Regions from separate parts of the Mus musculus genome. Here regions 1, 2, 3, 4 and 6 are each reported to be linked to region 5. The links are microRNA targets in miRTarBase. Many come from high-throughput screens and were not tested one by one. Region 5 holds a microRNA gene; each other region holds the end of a gene's coding sequence.
Evidence for each region. Region 5 holds the annotated microRNA mmu-miR-26a-5p (UUCAAGUAAUCCAGGAUAGGCU, at 3,024-3,045, opposite strand). A microRNA usually pairs through its seed, bases 2 to 8, with sites in the 3' UTR of a target mRNA and lowers its output. Matches are read on the target gene's strand: a 7mer-m8 pairs with bases 2 to 8, a 7mer-A1 pairs with bases 2 to 7 and ends in A, and an 8mer does both.

Region 1: the mRNA of Ccnj is a reported target of mmu-miR-26a-5p. Seed matches in the 3' UTR shown: 7mer-A1 at 2,166-2,172, 7mer-A1 at 2,545-2,551 and 7mer-A1 at 2,689-2,695.
Region 2: the mRNA of Eps15 is a reported target of mmu-miR-26a-5p. Seed matches in the 3' UTR shown: 7mer-A1 at 2,565-2,571.
Region 3: the mRNA of Fbxw11 is a reported target of mmu-miR-26a-5p. The part of its 3' UTR that is shown has no 7-base or 8-base seed match.
Region 4: the mRNA of Stradb is a reported target of mmu-miR-26a-5p. Seed matches in the 3' UTR shown: 7mer-m8 at 563-569, 8mer at 624-631 and 7mer-A1 at 1,088-1,094.
Region 6: the mRNA of Ablim1 is a reported target of mmu-miR-26a-5p. The part of its 3' UTR that is shown has no 7-base or 8-base seed match.

Annotation. Positions count from the first base shown.
Region 1 is chr19:40,845,296-40,849,383 of GRCm38, forward strand. It overlaps Ccnj (cyclin J), which reads left to right. Exons shown (of 6, transcript NM_172839.4): 6 at 404-3,277. The coding sequence ends at 803. Among named protein-coding and RNA genes, the nearest start is that of Ccnj, 16 kb to the left of the region's middle.
Region 2 is chr4:109,384,609-109,388,696 of GRCm38, forward strand. It overlaps Eps15 (epidermal growth factor receptor pathway substrate 15), which reads left to right. Exons shown (of 25, transcript NM_007943.3): 25 at 711-3,209. The coding sequence ends at 857. Among named protein-coding and RNA genes, the nearest start is that of Ttc39aos1, 20 kb to the right of the region's middle.
Region 3 is chr11:32,742,008-32,746,095 of GRCm38, reverse strand. It overlaps Fbxw11 (F-box and WD-40 domain protein 11), which reads right to left. Exons shown (of 13, transcript NM_001271347.1): 12 at 3,452-3,637; 13 at 1-1,566. The coding sequence ends at 3,476. Among named protein-coding and RNA genes, the nearest start is that of Gm35723, 38 kb to the left of the region's middle.
Region 4 is chr1:58,993,902-58,997,982 of GRCm38, forward strand. Stradb (STE20-related kinase adaptor beta) reads left to right here. Exons shown (of 12, transcript NM_172656.6): 12 at 392-1,221. The coding sequence ends at 535. C2cd6 (C2 calcium dependent domain containing 6) reads right to left here. Exons shown (of 19, transcript NM_026600.1): 19 at 3,215-3,700. The coding sequence ends at 3,362. Among named protein-coding and RNA genes, the nearest start is that of Stradb, 22 kb to the left of the region's middle.
Region 5 is chr10:126,994,500-126,998,587 of GRCm38, reverse strand. It overlaps Mir26a-2 (microRNA 26a-2), which reads right to left and starts at 3,058; the gene lies at 2,975-3,058. Ctdsp2 (CTD (carboxy-terminal domain, RNA polymerase II, polypeptide A) small phosphatase 2) reads right to left here. Exons shown (of 8, transcript NM_001113470.1): 6 at 2,641-2,733; 7 at 2,377-2,562; 8 at 1-2,227. The coding sequence ends at 2,102. Mir546 (microRNA 546) reads right to left here and starts at 148; the gene lies at 28-148.
Region 6 is chr19:57,033,918-57,038,005 of GRCm38, reverse strand. It overlaps Ablim1 (actin-binding LIM protein 1), which reads left to right. Exons shown (of 26, transcript NM_178688.4): 26 at 669-4,088. The coding sequence ends at 782. Among named protein-coding and RNA genes, the nearest start is that of Afap1l2, 27 kb to the right of the region's middle.

The sequences.
Region 1 (4,088 bases), not on the chromosome of region 5:
CTTAGGGTAGTTCTGTCAGTTGCCACTGCTGTGAACAATCGTGCTCCGTAGCCAAGGAGCATTCTTTGCCTGTGATCCTGTTACTGGTACGACCCTCAGTACTTGGCGGGACAAGGAGCGGTCCAGGCTGATCTTACTCCATTCCCTTCTCCATACCACTGAATTTAAGGGTTGCCAGGATGTGACCTCAAATTCCTAGTTGTAAAGAGTCCTCAAAGCCACCAGCACTGTTCATACCAAGATGAACACTTGAGAAAGGTACAAGGAAGGTGTCACTTGTTGAAATGACAGTGACCTAGGTGGCAGCAGTGGTGGTTCTTGGAGTGAGCAGTGGCAGAGGCGGGAAGCGGGCTTCGCTGCATCCTGCCCGAATGGTGTTACTCTTCCCTTTCTTTTGTCTCAGTGCTCACGATAACGACGTGAAAGAAGCAAACAAGCAGAGGGGACAGTCAGCTCCCCAGTCGACACAGCTGACTGTGTTCCAGACAGCGCAGCCCTCCCGGCCGGTTCACTTCCAGCAGCCTCAGTATCTCCATCAGAGCTCCCTGCAGTACCGGCATCCTGTGTCAGAACAGCCCAGCCGTCAGCAGATTGTGTCTACCACACACACCTCGTCTTACACGCTACAGACTTGTCCCGCGGGCTTCCAAACGAGCGTTCAGGGCCTTGGCCACATGCAGACTGGTGTTGGGATGTCCCTGGCAATACCAGTAGAAGTTAAACCCTGCCTCAGTGTTTCTTATAACCGGAGTTACCAGATAAACGAACATTTCCCGTGTATTACCCCATGCTTTGAGAGGTGATGACGTATGTATGCAGGCCACAGACTGTTCTGAGGTGGTTAGCTCTGGAGCAAGCCTTTTGTCTTCCTCTTCAGAAGGAAAGAATACAATCAGTACATCAATGCAACGGGCCGAGGCACCGGAAGACTGAGTACCAGTACCCCTTTCAGTACCATGAGTGCTTAGGAGGGCTCTGCAGGTACTGACGTGTCAAATCCTGTGTGACAGAAATGTCCCAGTTCCTGACTGATGGTCCAAATATTTCAAGATGCTCAATACAGCAGAAAATTTGCCATTCTAAGATTTGACCTGTTATGGGCTTTGGCCTTATGCTGACATATATGTCAAAGACTTAGTGTTTATCTGTGGACTTGCCAAACCATCTTTTATGAAGGAAGTTGCAGTATTAATTTTTGAAGAATTGTTTTAATCTTGCAGCTCAGAGGTTTTTTTTGGTTTCTTTCTTTTTTTTTTTTTTTTTTTTGACCTACTGGTAGGTTTCTAAATTCAAACTCACCAGTTGCTACGTATACTAATCTGTGCAGTTAAAAAAATCCAGATGATTTTTATATAACTTCATATCATAAATACAGGTGCTGGATTTATATACTGCAATTAGGGGCGAAGCAGATCCATACCTTGAAATCATGGTCATAATTTTGGTTTTGCTCTGCTGCCTTTTCCCACTAAGTGATCAGCCCCAGTTCTTCAGGGTTAAGCACGTTTAACTCAGGGACCTTGTAGCACTTGGAAACACTTGGCTCTAACCGACATGCCTTGGGAGTATTAGAATATGAGCTACCCGTGCAACATCGGCTGCAGTGCTCCTGCTGGGATGAGAATCGATCACGGCACAGGACGAATGCAGTGGGTCCTGTGTTCGTGCACGGACAGGCTGGGCATCACCCAGTGATTGGCTGTTGCTCCTGAAGGCAGTTTTCAGGAGAAGGCATTCTATGAAGTGTCAGTGCTAGAGTCGAGTCAGGTAGGATTGTTCTTGGGTTCAGGATGGCTCGGGTAGTGCTCAGCGTGGGCTGACGCAGCACTTTGTTATGGGAGGGTGGTTCAGTGAGTGCCCTTGGGATCCAGCAAGTCAGGCAAGCAGGAGTGCTGATCTTAGTAGCCACTTTCTGTGGTTGGCTGTGTACCTGCCGGGAGACAAGTCTTTGTATTGATAGTGAGTGAAAGCAGCAGTAATAGTCATACCCGGGGCAACCTGGCCATAAAATACTGTCAGGAAGTATGGAGGACAGACTTCAGAAGTAAAAAGATGGCTGATGAACTGTAAGCATAGTAGTCTTATCCATGCAGGAGGAAGGAGCTGGTGGGGGGGACACTTTCTGGTTTAAAATGAGTAAGGCGTGTTTGATTTTATAAGATAGCACTTGAATAGAAGGGAAACTGTGGCAGCTATGAGACACAGTGTCTATTGGCGAGAGCTCGCTGTAAAGATGTGGGTATGCAGCAGGAGTCGGTGGCCTTTGCTGGGAAGGGACGGAAGGGCTCCACAGCCTGATGGACTGACAGGCAGCTCCGGAGGAGAAGTGCCCGTGGGCAGCTTCTGCCAACAGGAGTTCTTCCGGAAATGTGCTTTCCTTAAAAGGAAGCTAACTTTTATATTTAGCGTACAGAAGGCCTGGTGATGAAAACCACTCAGGTAAGAACACTTGTGGCAGTTTTCAAGCATGAAAACTGTTGTAGGAACGTATCACTTTTCCTCTTTAAAAAGGCTGCTAATTGGATTTTTATAATTCTTAAGAAAACTTGAATTAGGAGGAGGAAGTGGGTTCAAAAGATAATGTCTCTTTCCCGTTCACAGATAGAGGCCTGCAGCATGGAGTCCAGTGTTGAGTATTGTAACTACCTCAGTAATGCTATGAATGTAAGAGATTGGGAGAGAATCCTAACTTGAAACAACAGCCAGTGCCTGTGGTGATTTAATGTCTTGTCAGTGCTTTTATTGATTGGTTATGTGTCATTCTTGTTGTCAAAGAATACTTGCCTTTTTAAAGAAGCTTATTAACACTTTCCAGTTTATATTTAAAAAGCTAAAGAACACTGGATTAATCCTTCTTGGGGGTAGAGTCAAATAATTGATGACTATTGCTGCATACCCGGATGGGGAGGCTGGAGAATCATGATTATTTTTAAAAACAGGAGAATTCAGTATATAATGCAACTCAACAACAGTTAGCTGGGGAGGGGGGCGGGGGGTTGTTTTGTTTAATTTATTAATTAGTCTTAAGAGGTTTTTTTTTTTCTGTTTTGTTTTGAGATTACTGGACCATCATTAAATGTGTACTGTGAAGAGATTAATGATGTGTGTAAAGGACTTAACCAGAGTCCACTAATAAACACTATTCAAGTACAAAAACGCAAACCAAATATCTGTGCTATGACTAACTACAAACAGTGAGTATGGTGCTAAGTCTACACAGCAGGGTTAGATGAGTGCTGTGCACTTGATTTTAAAATAAAAGTAGTTTTCACTAAAATGGTCTTGCTGCTTTTGTTTTAAATATGGACCTGTTGGCCGTGACCTCCTCAAGCCATGTTGTCATGTGTGTCAAGCTTGCAGTCACAAATGTATTTAATAAGAGGCGTCCAGATATAGAGCATTGTGCAGGGACAGGAAACATTTGTCCCTTTGTGTATTGCATCCTGAGCATCGAAGCCCATTAGAGTTTAGCAGACAACTCTGTTGCCTTAAAATGAGTTGTGTGTTAGTAAGTGTAAATTCTTTTTTTTTTTAATTGAACATAGTTTTTTTTTTTTAATATATAACATTCTGGTAACTTCTCCCTTATTTCCTAGATCCTCCCTCTCTGTGGAACTCTGAGCCTCTTTATCTCAATCTTTAGAAAGCAAACAGGAAAAATAAAAACAAAAGCAGAGCACAGGATAGAGCAAGACAGAAAAGTAAAAGCACACACAAATACACACACACACACACGCATGCACTCGCGAGCAGGGAGCGGGCACACAGGAGCAGGCACCCAGAAAACCCATTAAAGCACAAAATCACTAACTAAAATATAGAAGTAAAAGACCAGCAAGGAGAGAAATGGCCAAAACATCAGGAAACAGACAAAGCAAAACCCAAAAAAACAAAACCCCCCAAAGTACCATTGCGTTTATTTTGAGTTGCCCATCTCCTGCTGCGCGTGGGGCCTGCCCTTGAGTGGTTTGTGTACTCAGGGAGACTCCATTGGAGAAAATAACTTTTCCTTTGTGTGCTGTTGTCAAGCAACAAGTGAGCTTGTTTTATTCACCTAAGTATAGATATCATTTGTTCCTTAGTTTAGC
Region 2 (4,088 bases), not on the chromosome of region 5:
TGTATCTAACGTTCTTCTATGTAGCAAAATTTGTCTGTTTTTGCTTTATACTTTTGGGGTTTCCTGAGAGGCCAGGTAAAGCGGCTATCACCAGTGGCATTAATTTTAATGATATGTCAATCAGGCATGCTGCCATATGGTTGTAATCCCACAACCTAGGACACAGGCAGCAGGATCATGAGTTTGAGGCCAACATAAGCCACCTAGTGATAGTCCATCTCAAATAAAATAAAATAAAATAAAATAAAATAAAATAAAATAAAATAAATCCAGAAGGGAGGATTTTATGGTGAAGTGAAAGATTAGACCACTCCTGTTTTTAAATATCCTATTCTATCCTAAGCATTTAACCTGTTTAGAGAAAATATCACTGTGTCCCAGATTGGCTTCCTTCTTCCTCAGTCCCCTATGTTCTGGGACTGCAAGCATATGCCACCATGCCTGGAATTGCTACTTTTTAAGGTGATGATTTTAATGGCGTACTTTATAGGCCTTATTATATTTTTATAGACTTATTTTCCCATAGATTGTGTTAAAATTTTAAAGTAAACCAGAGCTCAGTAAGTAGTTAAAATACATTTTCAGAAAAACAAGGAATTAGTACTATTCCTTTAGGTAAAACAAGTAGTTAGCACTCTTTTATAAAAGGTCTTTTGTATGTCTTAGCTTATTTTTTAATTCCTTCATTCTTTGGATCTTTTAAATGGCAGTATCCCTCTGAAGAAGATATGATTGAATGGGCAAAAAGGGAAAGTGAGCGGGAAGAAGAACAGAGGCTTGCCAGACTAAATCAGCAGGAGCAAGAAGACTTGGAACTGGCCATTGCACTTAGCAAATCTGAGATCTCAGAAGCATGAAGAGTTATCTGTCCTTTGTCAGCAGTACAGTGCTCTCTGGAACACTGAAGCTATTTACCATGTGCATCAAACTACCTATGAGCATGGGATACAAAAGGTTTGAGATTCCTAGAAATGTGACAAAAGTCTAGTTTGTTTTTTTTTTTTTTTTTGGGGGGGGGTGCTATTTCAAATGTGTCTTTTATTTTTTCTTCCAAAAGCAGTACCCTAATTAAACGGCTTTGCCTAGACCCCTGTTCTGGTGTGCATTTATAGTGAGCTCTTGCCTGCTTGCACTAGCCCCTGTAAAGCTAGAGCATCAAGCCTCTGCCTTCTGGAACCTAGCAGATGTAGTTTTGCGCTGTGCTACCCTTGTCCTGTAGTTACTATGACAACGACTGGAGTTCTGAAAGTGTGCAAGTATTCTCCCTGAGCTGAGTGCTTGAAGGAGGGGGAGGGAAAGAGTATCCTGTTTCTTCTGATCGGTACAAATTAGTCAGTTTAAAGTGCATTATATGTACTTCTGGAGAAAATATAGTTAAGTTACTTAGAGACAGGGGAAAATATTCTGCATAGATCTACTCCACTATTGAAAACTGGATAAGTTAAACCATTATTGCTCCAGCCGCAAGTAATTCCTAAATAAAAGTATTAAAGCCTTGTATATGAAACATGTTTTTAGAACAATTTTCTCTGGACTTAAAGAATTTTACGATTAACAGATACCTCACGACATGTTTCCTAGTTAAAAACAAACAAACCAATTTCTTACAAATAAAATTTGTAAGGATATGTTCATTTTAAGTGCTAGTGAGGAAAATTTGTAACTTAAAATATAACCTATCCGTTTAAGCAAACACTTAGCCTGTACCCATTTTGCCTTTGTGGCTGCACTGACCGTAGTTCATAAGTGACCTGAAGTCTAGGAAGCTAGAATTGGAAGGTACTTTGGTATTCATTATGTGTTTTGTTTCTTTAGTGAAGGCCCAGCTATTTGCAGTGATACAAATGGAAGAAATAACATTTGTTATATCCTCTTACTTTCTGTCCATCTTTGTAGTTTAAATTTCTTTATTTGCTTTATTTGTCTCACCAATAAAATTGACAAGCTACCCCACCCCCAAAAAAATCCTAGTTTTTAAATTGAGAGAAAAATAAACCAAGTTGCCAAATTATCAGAGCCCTACTTTTGTTAAAAGCCCATCTTCTGCTGAACTGGCCTGACAGACAGCTGGATTTTAAATGGATTTGAAGTAAACTATAATTTGTAATTTTTTAGATAAGAGTTACTAATTTAGTGTTTGTAATACCAAGATAAACAAAAATGCACCTACAAACTATTTAAAATTCTTTAGGATAGCCAAGTTAAGGTGGTATTGAACTGTTGTTAGAGTAATTTACTGCCTGGCCTATAAGTAAATTCTAGTGTCTAATCAGACCATTTTGAAATGGTGCTTTTTTTTCTTTTCCACATACTATTGGATAGCTGGGATTTAAAACAAACTTCAACCACTTTCTTGCACTGCTAACTTTTTTCTACTTTTGTAAATAAATATTTCAGCATAAAAGTTAAAACATGAAGTAAGGGCTGAATCGTAATCACAAGGCTTTAATTGTGATAACTAATTCCGTGGCCTAAGTGCTTGCTGCAAAGGGTGATGAGCAGGTCAGGTTGGGTGGTGTTCCTGTTTGCCCCTTCCTCTCACTCCTCAGGAGAAAGGTAAGTTGACTTGAATAACCTTCGTTTGCACTGAGAAAAGTGAAAAATGTTTGAAATGCTTTAATTTTTTTTAATAAAAAACACTCTGGAAATATTAAATATCTATAACTTATAAACAGCAACTTTTGATGTGTAGTAAGTGTGCCCTAATCTTCTGTGCGCTTAGCTGGGTCATAGAGGTTCTTATCCTTTGTTAAGATGTGTGTGCTCAGTGGGCCAATATCATACTAAAGTATGTAATATGACATAAACATATCTATATCTCCATGCTTGAGTGTATAGAATGAATGTCTTAAGAGCCATTTGTGATGTTTTATGGTGTTGACCCTGGCTCCAAAGCCTGCGCTTGAAACAAAGACAGAGTTTTAACCATCTTCCTTTTATGTACTTGTTCAGCTTTATCTGTGCTCTCTTCATAGATGTTCTCTCATGTTTCAAACTTATAAATTACTGTTGTAATTATGAAGATAATAAACTTTAATAAGTAAAAATGTGTACTATATCATTTTGCATTGAAACTTTGTGCTGTTCTTGATCGTGTGCATATGGTAGGAGGAGGGCAAGTTGCCATCAGCATACATTATCCTGTATAAAGGGTTCTTACAGTACTATAGAGACTTAAATAAATGTTGAATGCTAATTCTATAAACAAACTTTGTTATCTTGTCCTGTTTTTTGAAAGGAAGTTAGGATATGTATCTTCATAAAGATAGAGCCTGAAACACGTGGCTGTGTAAGGACGCGTGCCTTGGGTTCTTAGGATGTTCCTGACCTCAAATCCCTTTTCTGCTGTTTTTGAGAAATTCCTTTAAGTCATACATGGTTGTGCACACCTTTAATCCAGGAGGCAAAACCAAACAGGTCCGAAGTTCTGACCAGCCTAGTCTATGTGGCAAGTTTGAAGTCAGTCTGAGCTACATAGGGAGACCCTTTTTAAAAACAAGCAAGAACAACAACAAAAGAAAGTTCTTTAGCCTCTGATTCCCTGAACTTCATTTTCCTCATTAATGAGTTTGATAGTTTGGTCAATCTCTTGTTAGATGGAGGTCTTGCTATCTCGGGCTAACCTCCAGTTCAATTCTTCTGCCTCGTGAGCAGTTGGAATTACAGCCATGTAATACCCTGCCCAGCTTGATACCTTTTTTTTTTTTTTTCGAGACAGGGTTTCTCTGTGTATCTCTGGCTGTCCTGGAACTCACTCTGTAGACCAGGCTGGCCTCGAACTCAGAAATCCGCCTGCTTCTGCCTCCAGAGTGCTGGGATTAAAGGCGTGCGCCACCATACCCGGCAACACCTTTTTAATACTAGCTATTTTAAGGAAATAGGTTCACTGCCCCCACCCCCCAGGGCCTCCTTTACCTCTGAGCTCTTCCCAGCCTCACATTAGACTGTGTGGTGCATGTGACGCCCTATGCCAAGCATTTTGTGTCTGCTTGTGTTTCTTGTCTAGTTTTCACCGTAGGACTCGGTAAGGACAGGTTTTCTCCTGTTTTGAAGATCTGTATGAGAAAGTTAAAGTGTGTGCTTCAGCT
Region 3 (4,088 bases), not on the chromosome of region 5:
TGAGAATGATTTATTGGGGAAGGAAAAGAACAAACTAAACTAAAAAGTAAAAAAACTAAAAAGGAAAGCCAACCCAGTACACACATCCACCACACACTGACCCCACTGCATTCATAATGCCAGGCCAGGTGGAGCCCAGAGGCCTTCTCTCTCCTAGAGTGTGCTTCCATGGGAAGAGGCTTCATTCACTGGGAGGGGCTGGTTGGTCCTTTAAAACCGTACTAACATTCCTTCATCTTTGGAAACAATGGCAAGGGGAAATCAAAACCTAATTTTGAAAGAGGGAAATAATGTCACCAATGTCCTGCCTGGGTGCCACTCTCACAGTGATGAGTGACAGCAGAGCTGACAGGGCCTGAGGCTGTGCCCCACACACAGAGGAGTGCCTTGTCCCTAATGTGGGCTCTGGCCAGCTGACCTGCTCCACAGGCTCTAACTCTATAGCCCCCAACACCCATCCGAGTACAGGGAGCCCAGAGCCAGGAGCCCTGTCCACTGGCCGCCATCTCCATCTCAGGGTCACTGCCGTGTGGTAGGATGTTGGACAGAGAAGCTAATGATCACCCCAAGGAGGTGAGCACTAGCTCTAGGGGTAAGCGTGAGGAAAAGAACAGCAATGTGGAGACTGTGAAGATACCTGCCCACTGCAGATGCCACACAACAAATAAACATGGGAGACTTCTCAAGTTCTGTCTGAAAACACACAGCACACACAAAGACAGTGACAACTAAAACCCAAGTGAATACTGAAGGAGGCTCTAGGCCAGCACAGCAACCCTGGAGTAGGTGTGACAATCTCCACAGTAGTGTCTCAGGTGCAGGGGGCCGGCCAGCACCCTTGAGCTTGGACTGTTATGTACACTCTATCTACATGCGGATACAGTATTTTAAATTAGGAGGCAAGCACTCGGATAAAGGTGTTACTCTACCAAATATCAGAAGATGAGGAAGAACAGAGAACAGTTAATAAAAGAAAATAGCTATATCACCTGTGCAGAGGTAATATAGCCCACTTATTCTTTAAATTAAAAGAAACAAACAGAAAGAAAGTGTAATCCAAAAATACTAAGATAATCCAGATCTGCCCATTGTCCGACACATTCCTATGCACGTCAGAGCGACGGTGACTGTGACTGACGGTCTAAGGAGAAGCTGCTGCTGGAGAGGAAAGCCCTGAAGACGCTGTGTAGTCGTTTGGCACCCAGCACTTCACCGAGAATGCAAGGCTGCTTTTAGTACCAAACCAAGGCGCAAAGCGACGACATAAGTTAGAAGCAGGGCTTCTCCTGACAGTCCTTGCTGTGTCCTTCGTGGGAACGTGTGCATGGGAAGCGCTGGGGTCTTCACTGAAGGGAGGGACATGAGCTGCTGCTCTACTTGCAGTGGAGAGCTAAGGAGTCCTTCTCCAAGTAGAGCTGGGGTGCAGTGAGAATGTCAGGGCTTGAGGGGTGGGGCTGCTCTGTATCTACCCAGCATCTGGAACCAGTCCAGCCCCAAACTCAGCTGTGAACGAACTCCCTTAGGCATGTGATAGCCATATAGCCAGTAGTTCAAGACCAGGAAACCCTGAAGAAGAAAGGAGAATGACATTATTTAACTAGACAAGACATGGAAGGGTCACAGAGGGCAGGTTCAAGAAGGAAAGGGGAAGACGGGGGTAGAGTGGGGTGTCAGACCTCCTCCTCCATCCCTTCCCCGTGTCATTACACTTTTCTGACTATGCCTGGTGAGGAGCTCTGTGTCTTCTGCCTCTGTAAACCTCTAGAGTCATGTGCTCTGAAGACATCACTCAATGACTACTACCAGGTGGGTTTGTCAATGGACTTACAAAAGTTCTTCCAAGAGAAAGTAGTGGGGAGATGACTGTGTAGGCAGAGATGGTGTGGACAATGGAAGGCCAGGAGCAGTAAACCTTCTGATGGCCTCCCCCTCTAACCCCCCACAGCAGATGTCACCAGCCCACCCTGCCCTGCAGTCCTTTGGGGTCCACAGCCACTCTAAAGGGAGCCCTCACCTGTCACTACTAATGAAACCCAGATGTTCGCAGCAGCACAGAGCGACCGTTCCTGATGCGCACCAGACCCTTAAAGCACTGCACAGGAAGTGGCTGACATGTGTGAGTCCCAGCTCCTCAACTATGCCACAGTGACATGTGACAAATGAGCAAGGTAAGCTCCAATCACACGGATTTTATGGAGGTTGGAATTTTAATATCACAGAGTTTTTATATGGCATGAATTTTTAAAATATTTTTCAAGTGTTTAAAGTGTAAGATCTACTTTTGGCCTGCACTGGCAGAAAAACAAAGCATACAGTGGGTCAAATTCAATGCTTGGCTACAGTGTGTTAAGCCCGAGCAAGGTAAACTTCTTGAGAGTCATTTATGGGACTCAGAATCTAGACTAAAAAATATCTGAAACAGATTAAAGGGGTGTGCCAGCACCACCTAGCTTACTCTTTAGTAAGCTAGAAAGTACATAATAAAAAGCTATAAAGAATTAAGCAATGCTTTTTTTTTTTGAGACAGGGTTTCTCTGTGTAGCCCTGGCTGTCCTGGAACTCTCCTTGTAGACTAGGCTGGCCTCGAACTCAGAAATCCACCTGCCTCTGCCTCCTGAGTGCTGGGATTAAAGGCATGCGCACCACACCCGGCTAAGCAATGCTTTTTAACTAAGAGAATTTAATCACAAATCTTTAAACAGTCACAGAAGTAAGGGTATTTATGAAGTGGACAAAGCGGGATGTGCGCAGAATCTAATGGATCCCGGCAAATCTTCCAGGTAGGAATATTGTTCCCAGTAGTCATGGATATCTGGGATTGGGCAAATCGGGCTTCTCTCTTTCTATCTAAAACAGCATCTTGGTGAGCAAAACAATCTGTCACCAACAGTATGACAGCGGCTCTGTAACTAGAGCGGAGGATTTGCATTCTGAAGCACCTGTCACGCCTCACCATGAAGAATGCACAGCATAATTAAGTGATAGCTCCTTGTGGAGATGGTAAAGCAGAGTGGACTTGGTGATGGGAAGAGGAATTTTGGATGGTCCTGTGTGCGCGCATGCATGGGCATGACTACACCCATCTGCCTGTCTGTCTGTCAGCCACAGAACTGAAAGACCAGGTAAAAAGGTTGATTTCTGCAATCCAAAAATCAAACCTGAAAAACTATCCTGGTGTTAAATGGCTATGATCATGAAGGAACTCATTTAGGTAACCAGTTTTTTAAAAACAGCAACCACAGACATCACTACCTGTCAATGACGACGAGAGAGCCCACGATGTGCAGGGCTCTGTTGGGAGCCTATTGAGACCTTACCTGCTAGTCTGGTAGATGCTTTCATTCACATCACTAAGGAACCTCAGTTTCCTAATTCCCAGAGGGAAGGCAAAGTCCAGAAGTGAGCGAGGTCTTGAAGAGCCCAGGCAGGGCTGGAGTTTGAGCACACTCACCAGATTGGGCCAAAGTGCAGGCTGCTATCTGGAGATATAGGTGTAGGTTCTGGAGGGAGAGCGGGTCTCATTCTGGGCACTGGGAGGCACATTTAAGAAATCCCAAATCAAAATAGTGTCATCATGGGAGCTGCTGATGATCTGAAACTCATCAAACTGCAGCCGAAACACACGTCCAGAGTGTTCCTATGGAAAAGCGGCTTGGTTAACATGTAGGAAGGATGGCTTTACAGCCCCTATCACCAGAGCTGGGATTTAGCTCAGGCGGGAAAGTCAGCACTTTTCAATGCCTCCTGCGTGGTCCCCCCTCCCCCCTCCCCCACCCACACACACACACTGAGCCGCATCCTTTCCCTGAGAACAAATGTTCTGCTTTCTAGAATATACGCCTCTAGGTTTTTCTTTTTCTTTTTCCTTTAAAAAAAAAAAAGATTTATTTATTTATTTTATGTATATGAATACACTGTAGCTATCTGCAGACACACCAGAAGAGGGCAACAGATCCCATTACAGATGGTTGTGAGCCACCATGTGGGTGCTGGGAATTGAACTCAGGACCTCTGGAAGAGCAGTCAGTGCTTTTAACTGTTGAGCCATCTCTCCAGCCCCTAGGTTTTTCTTTTTTAAATTAAACATT
Region 4 (4,081 bases), not on the chromosome of region 5:
ATTTTCAAGTACCGGTGTAAAACACCCTTGGCACCTTTGCCTGGTGAGCCATCTAGTGGCCTTAATTATATATAGAATATTTAAAAGATTTTTATTCTTCAAAAACAAAGCAGTAAAAATAACATATGTTACACACACTATATTTTCATTAACTTAAAACTGGTGTCTGTCTTACCTAGAAATAATGGCAGGGCAGAATAATTCTGCTTAAAATTAGTTTATTTAGCTTTTAAGTCTTTGGTTTTCTCGATTGTCAGAACTAGAAGCATTTAAAAGGAAAAGACCTAAAAATAATTTTAAAGTTTTAAAATTTCTTTAAAAGTTATTTATTGCTTATAAAATTTGTGTTGAGTCTCTGTGCCCATGTCACTATTTTAAGTTTCTTTAACAGATGAAAGAAGAAAGCCAGGATTCCATACTTCCCCTGTTGCCACCTGCTTATAACAGGCCATCAGCGTCACTGCAGCCAGTGTCGCCGTGGAGCGAGCTGGAATTCCAGTTTCCTGATGACAAAGACCCAGTGTGGGAATTCTAGGGTTGCCAAATCATTTCATGTCCTCTATACTTGACAGCCTCTCCTTGCTGCTTGTCTTCGGTCCTGTTAGGTACAAATGACAAATCTATACTTGAAAATACAGTTGGTGCACTGGAGAATCGATCAGTTAAACCACTCTGTTCATGGGGCGTGGATTTACCCTCTCTGCCCAGATCAGAGCACCCGCACGACTTCCTCGTCAGTTACTGCCCAGCTCAGCTAGTGTCCGCTCGCCCGCCCTTCCGCACATCCCCCGCTTCTTTTCCACCTTTTAAGCTGTGACTGGTACTTTCTGGATCTCAGTGTAACTTTTGAGCTAGTTAATTCTCTTCTACATTTTACTGTTCTCTGGGGAATGAACCCTTCCTCGGAGGACACTGCTTCCAGAGCATCTTCTCTTCCAGATTCACTAGCCTTTTTGATCAGCTATTGGTAGATGAACAGGCTGGTTTATTCTGGTATAAAGCCCTTTTTTGGAGAAGGGAAAATGTTTGTACTATTCCTTTTACATATGGCAACATCAAACTGAGCCTTGCTCACATTAAATAATTCACTTGAACTATAAAGAGAAGATGCAATTTGCATTTTAAAGGGGAAGGGGCTAACAACACTTTTCTACCTGTGTAAATTATAGATCATTAATTCATGCACCCTGTGGGAGCTCAATAAAAATGTATAAAATTAAACATCTCTTTTATATATTTTGTGTGGCTTAACAAAACTAGAACACAGATTCTAATTTGGTTTGCTGAGAGAATCTCTTTTTTACACATAATTTACATAACATGGTATAAACTTCAGGCAATCTCCTAGAGACAAATGGCATGTTGGCCTTTTATATGCTTGTTTCTGTAGTGGGGTAAACCTTGAAGCCCATGCTGTTGTTAATGGCCCTGCGTCCCTAGCAGGAGATATTGTGTTTTAGTTACATTTTTGTTGCTATGATAAAATCCCACAATCAAAAGAGTTGCAGAGGGCTAGTTGTCCTTACTGACAGAGAAGGCAAAGCAGCAGGAGCAGAGAGCTAAGAGGTCCTATCTCAGCTACATCACAGGAAGCAGAGAGGGGGAACTGGAACTGGGGCAAGCCTACAAGCTCTCAGAGCACCCTCTGCAGCGTACTTCCTCCTGTAGGGCAAAGAGCATCGCCGAAGAGCTGATCACCAACACCAACTAGGTGTTCAGATACATGAGACCATATCGCACATTTTTCATCCAAACTAGCATAGTGTCTTAAAAGTGGTTTGTAATTGAATTTGTAATAAACTGGGGTCTATGTCAGTTGGTTTTCTTCATCTATATGACTATATAGATTGGAAGTTACTGTAAAATGATTGTCTTCAGTCTAAATAGGCAGTTAGAAGCAATTCTGTTCATGTTTGTTGGCTATACCTCTGCCTCAAGTATGAACGTTAGAGTTTCTCTATCGACACAGCCGCCAAGACCTGCGGAGGTGGGAAGTGGAGGTGAGAGAAATTAGAGTGGGCCATAGAGGAAGGAGACAACAGGTCCACTGGAGCACTGAGCAGCTGCCATAGAGGGAGTTGTACTTCATCCCACTCAATGCCTTAGCATCTCCCAATCTGAGAAAGTCCTGCACATGCCAGATGCCAAAGGTAGGAGGGGTGTCATGGACGTTGCCTGTCAGAGCTCCTACTGTTGATATGTTACAACTTGGCTCATGAAATTATGGAGACTGACAAGCCTCAAGGTCTGCCAGATGAGCTAATAAACAGGTGCTGGTGGTACCGTTCTAGCCCAAACGCTATCAGGCTTTATCAAGGCCAAGGTAGTGTTGAGGTTGAGTACAGTGGCTATAAAAAGCTAAATCCATGTTCAAAGTCAGGCAGGAGGGTATTATTTGGGGAATGTTATTAGGGATAATAATAGCAATTGATCAGGGAAAACTTCAGAGATATCAATGGAGAAATGTTTTAGAGATACTGCTTGCAAGTGACAATGTTGTCATAAAATCTTAGTGGGGTACAGGAATTTGAGATGTCCTTCTGGGAAATATGTCTTTGCTAAATAAAGCCTGACCAGTGGTTTTCTTCCTTACGATTGACCAGTGGCCTGCTACCTCCCAGTGCTTTTCTTCACTCTCCTCTGCTTCACTACAACTGTATTTCTTGTGCCTACCTTGTTCCTCTGGCACAGCTAGGATCACTTTTGTTGTTTTGAGTGGTGCTAGGGAGATGGGCCTCACAGTGACCTTGCCTCTGCTCTTCATAGCGGCAGCTGGCTCTTCCTTTTCTGAAGTCTTTTGGAACACTGGGAGCACTTCTTGTATTTACTAGCTTTGGGCCTTTCTTGCTGTTCCTTTTGGCTTCTTAGCCTGGACCCACCATTCAATAAAAGTAGTCCCTGCATTCTTTCTACCTGGAAGAGCAGTACATGATATTAAAATGAACAAAAGTTCTACCAGCTCAGAGAACTATAGACTGTTGAATCTAGAAATGTAACTAGAGCTAAGTTAAGTTCCATTGCTAAGCACAGACAGATGCAAATGGAGAACTGGCAAACTAGGCGGGTAGCAATAACCAAGTGCCACAAATGCTAAGGAACTTAAAGACTACTTCACCCCAAAAGAGGAGCACTGGGGTGCAAAACTAATGCTAATGAACACCAACTGAATATACATTTTTTAGTTTGTTCTGCAAGGCTTATAAACAAAAACACGTTTCTGTAGAATGTTTATTTTTCACTTTAATTATAACAAAATGGTCTAACAAGATGAAATTTAGTTGCTGACTTCTATCACACAAGGATAGATCTCCAAACCATTTTGTTAATGGAGAAATTATATTCTGACTGGTGGCATTACATATCATTCTGCATTGTCTAGCATCTGGATAATCTCACTAATGAGCGGACGCTTTTCAATATCCTCTTTTAATTTCCTTTTGGACCGCACTTTACGGATTCCATACGCTGGGGTGACATATAAGTGAAGTAAGCCCGCTGAAACCATCCGAGGACTTGCAAATTTCCAGGCGGCACTTTCTCGTCGTTTGTTAGGCTCTGGAGCAGTGTATGGTCGTGCACAGTGTTTTGCCTGATTATGGGAATCTTCTGGACTCTTGCCTAAAAGTCTTGCTCCTGATTTTGATTTTTTAGGACATTTAACTGTGGGTGCGTGTAAATCGTCGAATCTATCCAAACAATCCTAAATATTGAAACAAAATATCAAATTGGTAAATTAGGCTTCTTAAAAACACATTGTTTTGTTATAAGAACTCTTTGTAATAGCAACAGTTAAGAAATGAATGCCCTGATGTCTTATAGGCAGTCCCAGTGCATGCTCTGTACCCAGCGCTTGCCACTAAATACTCCCTTACAAGTCATGTTTAAAAAACAAACAAATAAACCAAACAAAAAACCCCTCACCTTTTTAGAGGACTTGATGCTTCAAAAGGGTGAAATATAGGAAACTTAAACTCGGACAGGCTTAAGGAGCTGTCCTCTGGGGTCAGACCAGGCAAAGCTAGTCAGCCCCGTCTATAGTTCTTCTAGTCCAAAATAGCCTTCCCATGACCTCAAATATAAG
Region 5 (4,088 bases):
GAGGCACTGGCTCCTCTCACTTGCCCTCCTCTCCTCCCCAGTATCACTTTGCTTCTAAAACATGGAACTAGCACAGGGATAGCAAGAGACAACATCTAGCTGACTCCGTGCCACCATGATAGATCCTGTTTAGTTTTGGGAAGAGAGGAGTTGATATGGCATCTTTGTGGCAGACTGCAGGTGGTAAGAGGACTCTGGTGGCAGTCAGGCCTAGAGAGCTGGGGTTTCATGGAGAAGTAACAGGGCTCCCATGAAGCCACACTGGGCTTTGGTCACATGGAGAACCAAGAAGCCAGAAAGGGACCTTAAAATTCAATCAACTCTGAGGCTCTTATTGCTTAGTCAAGACCAGCCCTCAGAGCTTTGTGAGAAGACCCCTCCTGCAGTATTGGGATGCCAGTGAGATCAGGGTCTGGACCTGAAGCCACAGTCAAGCTCCCATGTTCCTGGCTAGCACCTGCAGCCCTCAGCTCACCTTGGGAGGACCCTACAGACACCAGCAAATGAGGCTGGGGAAATGGCATGTGTTTGTCACAGAAGTGAAAGCCAAGGCTCCATAGCCTCGGGCCCAGGAAGAAGTCTGCAGAGTGCTGGAGGAATGCCAGCCAGTCTCCACTCACACCACCACACTCCTCCACCAGGCTTTCTCAAACCCCAGGCAGGACCTCGTGTGTGGAAACTAGAAAAATTTGAAAATATTGACTCCTGAGTGGGAGGTACCACACCTGAACCAACCCACAAACGCTGGCCGGCCTCCAGGGGAAGCAGAGATGGGGTAGGAACTCCCGCCCACCTCGGAGGGAGGCAGGGAGTGGGCGGGACTCACTTAAGGCAGTGAGGTGGAGGCCCCTCAGGGGCCCCTTGTGTTCCCAATGGTAGCTTTCCACTTTGGGGAAACTTCCACTCTGTGACTGACATTGAAAGCAACAGGGCTGAGAGCTCAGAGCTGCCCAGAGCACAGAGCTATGAGGACCTCACTCAGTCCTATAACGAGAAGCAGGAGGCATTTGGCAAATCAAGTAAGAGCAACACTTGGGACAACCAATCAATTAAGTACAACCGGGGAAAGTCCTTCTCCCAAGGCTCTGGAGAGGAAGAGCAGCAGCCGAGAAGGATAAAGGCGAGAGCAGACGAGAGCTGGCCAGGGCGGGACACCAGGAAGACACAGAGGGAGAGCCAAGCCCTCCCCAGCCTTTGGAGCTAATGTCCTTGCATCAGCTAGCACAGAACCCCTGAAGAGCACTTTTGGGATCTACACGCAAGGAGACAGACATCTTGCATTGAACATTTGCATTTTCTTTGTACCCCAGCGCTTCCCACACAAACCTCAGGCCCAGGACTGGAGCTCGGGCGAATATAAACCACTCCAAGTTTAGAAAGAGATTTTTAAGAGTTAAAAGAACAGAAATCAGCTATATGTCCTCCTCCAGGGCAGAGAGAAGACCTCCTTTCCCATGGGAGTAGGACTATGGCTTGGGAGTGAGAGGCTGGCCTGGCACTGGAGCCCGGGTACAGAGAAGTGCCCATGGCAGGCATTCTTGCTGGAGCCAGGTGTAGCCCATAGGACACAGAACCTGGTGGGTCTGCGAACATGCTCTCATATTCCCAAACATGTCTGCAGCTGCTGGCTAGGTTTCTGTGTTTTCTGAAAGATGTGTGTCTGGGCATCCAAAGCAGCCTCCGGCCTCTCCCTTCTCCTTGGCACAGGTCTTGATGCTGAGGGAAAGCCATGGTTTGGCGAGGGAGCCTACAATAGTTTTCATGGCTGTAAAGCTCAGTAGCTCACAGCATAGCAGGAAAGAAGACAAATGACTTGGGTTGAGTCCTTATCTTTCAGCTTCTCCCCCTACTGCACAACTGGGCACCCAGGACCATAGTTTACCGGACGGGCACATGCACGCACACACACCCACACAACCACCTGGGAACTGAGCACGGGGTGCAGAGAGCTCTGGGTCTTGGTCTGATTTCCTGCTCTGCGTGTGACCTGCTTTTGTCCCACACGCCCTGGCTACTTGCAGACCCCGTCAGTGAGGCTGACCACAAAGGCACAGTGTAGCAGAGTCCCCTGTTGGGATGGCCGTTTCTTGGAGCAGGAAGGCTAAGGGGCCCGCAGCTGCCCAAGGCTGGTGTAGACATCATCAGTTCCACTTAGCTCCTCGAAGACTGGAATCAGGTTCAGCAACTCTGTATCTGCCATGTCATCAAACCAGGACTGCACAGGCACCTGGGGCAGGAAAAAGTGACATTATCTGATATTTCCTTTCCTTTCCAGTGCCATTGGAGGCTGCTGGGCCACACAGGGGTTGTGGACTCCTCTGATAAAGCCCACGGGCCCAGCCTGCAGCCACCCCAGTCCCTGATGCGAGCACTCACTGCATTTTCTGGGTGGAAGATGTAAGATGCAGGGGAGTTGTCCAGGATGACAGTTTTCCTCAGGTCCCTTCCCAGGCGGCTGAGGTCCTTGACATAGCAGCCCTGGTGGAACACACAAGCCTCTCGGAACAGGCGGGCCCGGAACACCCCGCACCGGTCCAGGAGATCAGTCACAGGGTCAGCATACTGGAAAAGAAGGAGAAGCTTTAGCCTAGGCTGAGGGCTGGCTCTCCCCTGCCTTCTGCCCCTCCTGCAGTCAGGTACCTTGGCCAAGCTGGCAGTGAAGAGAACACATTCGAAGAGCTCCCCCATCCGTCTCAGGAACTCATCGACGTAAGGCCTCTTGAGCACATATACCTGGGAGACAGAGTGGATTGCTGTAGGAACCCCACAAGGCCAAGGACACAGCACCGGCTCTGCCTGTGCACTGACAGAAAAGCAAGCAGGCCTAGATACCCAGGTCGAGACACTGAGACCTCTGCCCCACCATGGACAGCTCTACCATGTTACCAGGCTTCTGCTGCCTCAACAGGCCCAACCCTAACCCGGCAGGAAGGAATGCACTCCCAGGAGCCATCTTCATTGAGGGCAGACCATGCGCTGCCTCCAGAAACAAGTAATCAAGAACAGGCCTCATGGACGGACACAGCCTATCCTGGATTACTTGAATCCAGCCGCAGCCTCCACAGTAGCCTTCTGTACGGGATTCCAGCAGGACGGCTTGTGTAGGTCCCATCTGGCAAGAACCACAAACTTCTTCAAACACACACCCTCGTAGGTTTGTGTGCACACCACCAGCTTCGAGGACTTGCTCGCTTTTAAAGGTTCTTCAACTAACTCGCCACCCAGTCTATGATCTGCTGCTTCTTCTTTCTTTCTTACTTCAGCCTGCACAAGTGTTCCTTAGGCCCACTCACTCACTTCCTTAAAGCAGCACAGGGGGTGTGCCCACCCCAGTCCCTCCTAGCCCACATCAGCACCAACTGAGCAGAGCCCTCCCATTTAGCAGCAGAACCCTCCATGCAGCTGCAAATGGATCTATCCATCACCTTCCACTTCTTAAGCCTCACAAACAAGCCCCTTCCTCACCAAGCATTGCTCTCCTCCCAGGCTCTCCTCAGATCCACATGGCAGGCAGCCCTCTCACTCAGGCCCCTTCTGCCCATGCCAGAGCCCCATACATTCTGTACATTTCTATTTCCTCAACTAGACAGCAGGGGGTGATGGGTGGAGTAAAGAGCCACAGCTTCGAGGCTCTGTACAGAAGTTCGTAAAGGGGCAGAGGGCTACGATGACAAACCCAGGACAGTCTCAAGCTGAACTTTCTCAGTCTGAAAACAGGTCTCATGCTTGCTAGGATGTCTGCATCACTGTCTCCGGCCCTCCCCTGGGCCGACCAGCATGCCTCTGGGCACATGGTCTCTCACCAATGCCTCGTGGTCCTTAACCCTAGGCAGCAGGGTGTACACGGCAGAGCCTGGACTCTGCCACTCTGACAGATGCATATGGAGCACTTACAGAAACCAGTGTAGAGGTCAGAAAGGTGTCATAGGAGGGGCCTGGGCCAGGGAAGACACATTCAGTAGCTCTTCACCAGAGGGCACAGGAGCAAATCCTAACAGCCCTGCACACAGAGCAAGGCTCGCCTGGTCTAAGCATGGACTGCATGGGCTGGACAGCATATGCTCTTCATTGAGGAGCTGGGTTCAATT
Region 6 (4,088 bases), not on the chromosome of region 5:
CACCCTGGAAGTCCTTTTCTCTTTGACCGTCACTTGGGTCCATTTTTCAACATCTCAAGGACCTGAAGTGATGCTGTCACATCCAGCACCGCAAGTCACCTTCCTGTGCCCGATCACTAGCCCAGCTCTGCAGTGAACCACATTGGCAGTAGTCTGCCAGGTGTTTCCTCTGGTGGAGGACACTACCTGGCTGTGCCCAGGAAACAAGCCCCAGAGAGAGCCGCCTCTCTCCCCAGTCTGACTGGCTCTTCAGGATGATGTTAGTGTCTCTGAGTTTCTGCAGGGAATGGATTTCAGGACACCGCCCCCCCCAACAGCCGACAAAGTCTGCAGGTGCAGAAAGTGATACGTTCTTTATACATTGTCTCTGCACACCCTCCCTTATGCTTTAAACCATCTTTAGATGACATATGATGCCTAGTGGAACCGAAAGGAGCCGTCCATACTTGCAGAACCGTGTTGTTTGGGGCAAAATGACCAGGGAAACAGTCTGTACATGTGTAAGTCAGAGGCAGTTTGGGAAGGATACTTTTTATCTAAATGGATTGGATTGGCGATGCAGAAGCCAGGACTATGGAAGGCTGGCTACATTCGTAAATTGGAAAAGGCATCTGATGTTCATTGGCGTGGCCGTTAGGACTAACAACCTCTTGCTTCTCTCTTCCCAGCGCCACTTAGCCCCAGAAGTATTTTGGGAGATCTTTGGGATGTCCATACAGGAATTTGACAAGTTACCTCTTTGGAGACGCAACGACATGAAGAAAAAAGCTAAACTCTTCTAAGTCCCTCGAGTAAACGACAATCAGGAAACGAACTCTCAGTGGCGGTGGTGCGTAGAACATTATGCTAAGGCCCAGAACTGATCAGAGAATTTGTTCACCACCGTCTCCAGGCAGCAACGCCAAGGGCAAGTCTGATCTCAGCACCCACGAGCCACATCCTGGGCCAAGCAACAGTAACCCTTGCCAAGCAACGACGGGGTAGAATTTCTATGTTCCCAAATTCAGCAGTAACGTCCACATGGGACCTTTTCACGTGACTCTGTGGGGCTTCTTTCTCCTTTTCACTTTCCCCTTTAACCCATGTCTGACTTAGTGCTGCCTGTGTTGGTAAGAGTCAGCAAGTGCCCTTAGGAAGCCACACGGAGGGGATGCTGGGAGTCCTGACATATGAATCTATTTATTATGTAGTACTGTGGCAGAGAAGGAATCCAGGGGCCTGCACTGATCGGGTAGCAGCTACTTTGCCTGTCCTTGGCCGTCTCCCTCAGCTCTGCCTGGGCTCCGAGGGAGATGGAAGTCCGTCAGGGAACAGGTAGTTCTAAGTGCGTGGCTAAATGATTTGGACAAGCTCCTGTGTGTGCTGAGACCTGGCTGGCCAGCTGCTAGAGGGGAAAAACAATTAAGACAATGGAAAAGGAAAAAGGAATGAAGGAACCTCCCTCCCTGAAAGCTTTTCCTGCTTCTGAGACTGTGTTCAGCCCTTTCCCCTATAAATTGATAGGAACTGTGTGTCCACCTTTCCAAAGAAAGGAAAGACAAAAAGAGTTTCCAGATTGGCCCAGCTGCTGATAGGTGATTTTTTTTGCCCATGAATCATGTATCTCTTAGAGAAGAAAATTCTATGCCCTACCACATCACAAGATCTCCTCCTCAGTGTCTGTCTGTCTGTCTGTCTGTCTGCCTGGCATCTGATGGGTCAGGTCAAGCCCGTGCTGGTTTTGACTAAGGGTAGAGACTAAGGGGAGACTTGTTTTTCTGAAGTAGACTGCTTTCACTCGGCCTGATGGACAAGCCCGCGTGTGTTCACGTCTGTGTGTAACTCACCCAGAGCAGATCTGTGAGTCTCGATGTGCTTTGTAATCTCTGCTTGAGTGTTGCCCATACTGGGCTGTGGCTTTGAAGGTCATTTGCACAAGAGCACGTGACCCAGAGATGGAGAAGTGAGGTTCAGGGAGGGTGCTTAGAGACCAGCCTGTTCTTTGAGCTGTAGAGACTCATGCTGGATTCAAACTGAGAACCCTGGAAGGAAGGCCAGGCTAGTTTAGGGCTCAGCGCGTCTCACCAGAGCCCTTCCATACTCTGTGACTCTCAGTGTGAATTGGAATGCAATTCTTTCCCTAAAATGTGTGGAAAAGGCCACATCATGAGGACTGGTGTGAGTTGGGGTAGGGTCCCCAGAGTCTCAGGAAAGAAGCTAGATCACACTGATTCTCCTGCCGTGGATATGAGTTAAAACCAAGTGGTAAAGCACTTGGATTCACCCCCAATGACCACTCAGCACAAAATGCAGAAATTCCTTCTGAAGGACTAAAGCGACCAGCTGTCTGCCACACCTGCAGTAACACAGAGCAACAGATTCCCAGCCCGTGATGAGAGCCTGTAGCTCGTGACACACTTCTTTGGGTTACTCTGCTACATTTCTGTAAGAGAGTTAAGTCTGAGAACTAGTCTCGCAAGTGTATCTGTTAGTACACTCTGCAAGAGGACTGGACTGCTGGCCTAGGTATATGGATCTCACGCCTCTTGGGGAGACAGATTGCAAAAATGGGTTCCCTGCATGTCTCCGGCTTCTTCCCATGTTCTCATTGTTTTTCTCTAGCTACCCTACTCATCACTGGCTCCCTCAGCACCAGGCCTGTATAACGTGGTTCTCACGTTACCCTGGCAGCATACAGGATGGGGAGTCTGGTGTATTCAGTGTTCACAGTCAGCAGACATGGTGACCTGGTGGGAGACTTTATTTATCCAGTGTGGTGATAGCATGACCCTCCATGCTTCTTACTGGTTAATGCTATTTCTCACAATGATGCAGATTAGGAAAATTGAAGTATTCAGGAAACAGGGGTGGTTGCTAAGGTTCCGTACCTGCTCTTTATAAATTTATAGTGGCTTTATCCTGACATAGGAAAGTTCAGCTGCAGGGGAGGAGGAGGAGACAGTCTTCCTCTTTAAGTTACAGAGAGCCGTAAGCTAAAGGACCTGCCTAGGATTATAATATTTGAAGAATGAACTTTTAAATTCTTGCAATAACGAAACCCTGCCTCCTTGACTATTTGAACTCAGTTCTCCATCTAAACTGGGAAAAAAAACAAACAAAGAAACAAACAAAAAAAATAACATTCCGTATTAGCATAGTAGTCCAAATTGTATCAAGCAAAAAATGTATGGCTAGACAACACCAGTAAGAATCCTGCTGCTCTGGGGGAGGCGGAAGGAGAGCTGGAAAGTCTGGAGTATCGCTCCGTTCCCTGGCAGAAGGTTCCAGCCAGGAGGATGTGCTGAAGATGGTCTGGTCCTAACTGCCAGACACAATGTCCGTGACATTAAAGGCTCCACATGATTGACCACAGCATGGGAGAGCGGTGTTCTTCACTCGACTCCACCCTGCTGGACACAGGAAAATTTCAATTGCTAAAAAAAAATCAAAGCACTCATTCACTTGGGGGGAGGATCCTACGCAGGGGGGACTTGGTGCGTATATTAAGGGCTATATTTTTCTAGCATTTGACCTACTTGCGACTTGATACAGATTGCATAGCCTGAAAGAGGCTTCTGTGGCCACCTGGGAGTCTCAGTGTTTTCTTCAAAACTTCTCCAAGAGAGTCCAGGCTCTCACATCGTCTTCCTGTGCGACCTATTAGAGAGATGAAAAGCCTTTGAAAACAGCTAGCTCTGCATTTTCATACTAGTGTAGAGTTTGTTATGAAATATTTTTACTATGACTCCTTCAACAACTAAATACGAACTGCCTGTTCTCTAAACCTCAAGGAGAAAAACTGGAGTTAATGGGTAATAAGGTGCAAAATAAAGGGGTAAGGGGGGAGTTTTCTATCTGTCCTGTTCTCTGTTATCTCCAAGTCCTGATTCTGTTGCCTCCAGCCCGAGCCTCCTCTCCTCTTCTCTCCCGAGACACAGCCTCACCCGTCATTTCATTCTCTATCCACTGTCTGTCACCTCCAGCATGGAAAGGTTCAGCTGGAGACATTTCTGAAACAGACTACTTTACTTTGAAGCAAACGTCTTTTTTTTAAAGATTGCTTCACCAATGATGCTGTCAGATATATCTGCTTTCTCAAGTTTAAAAGA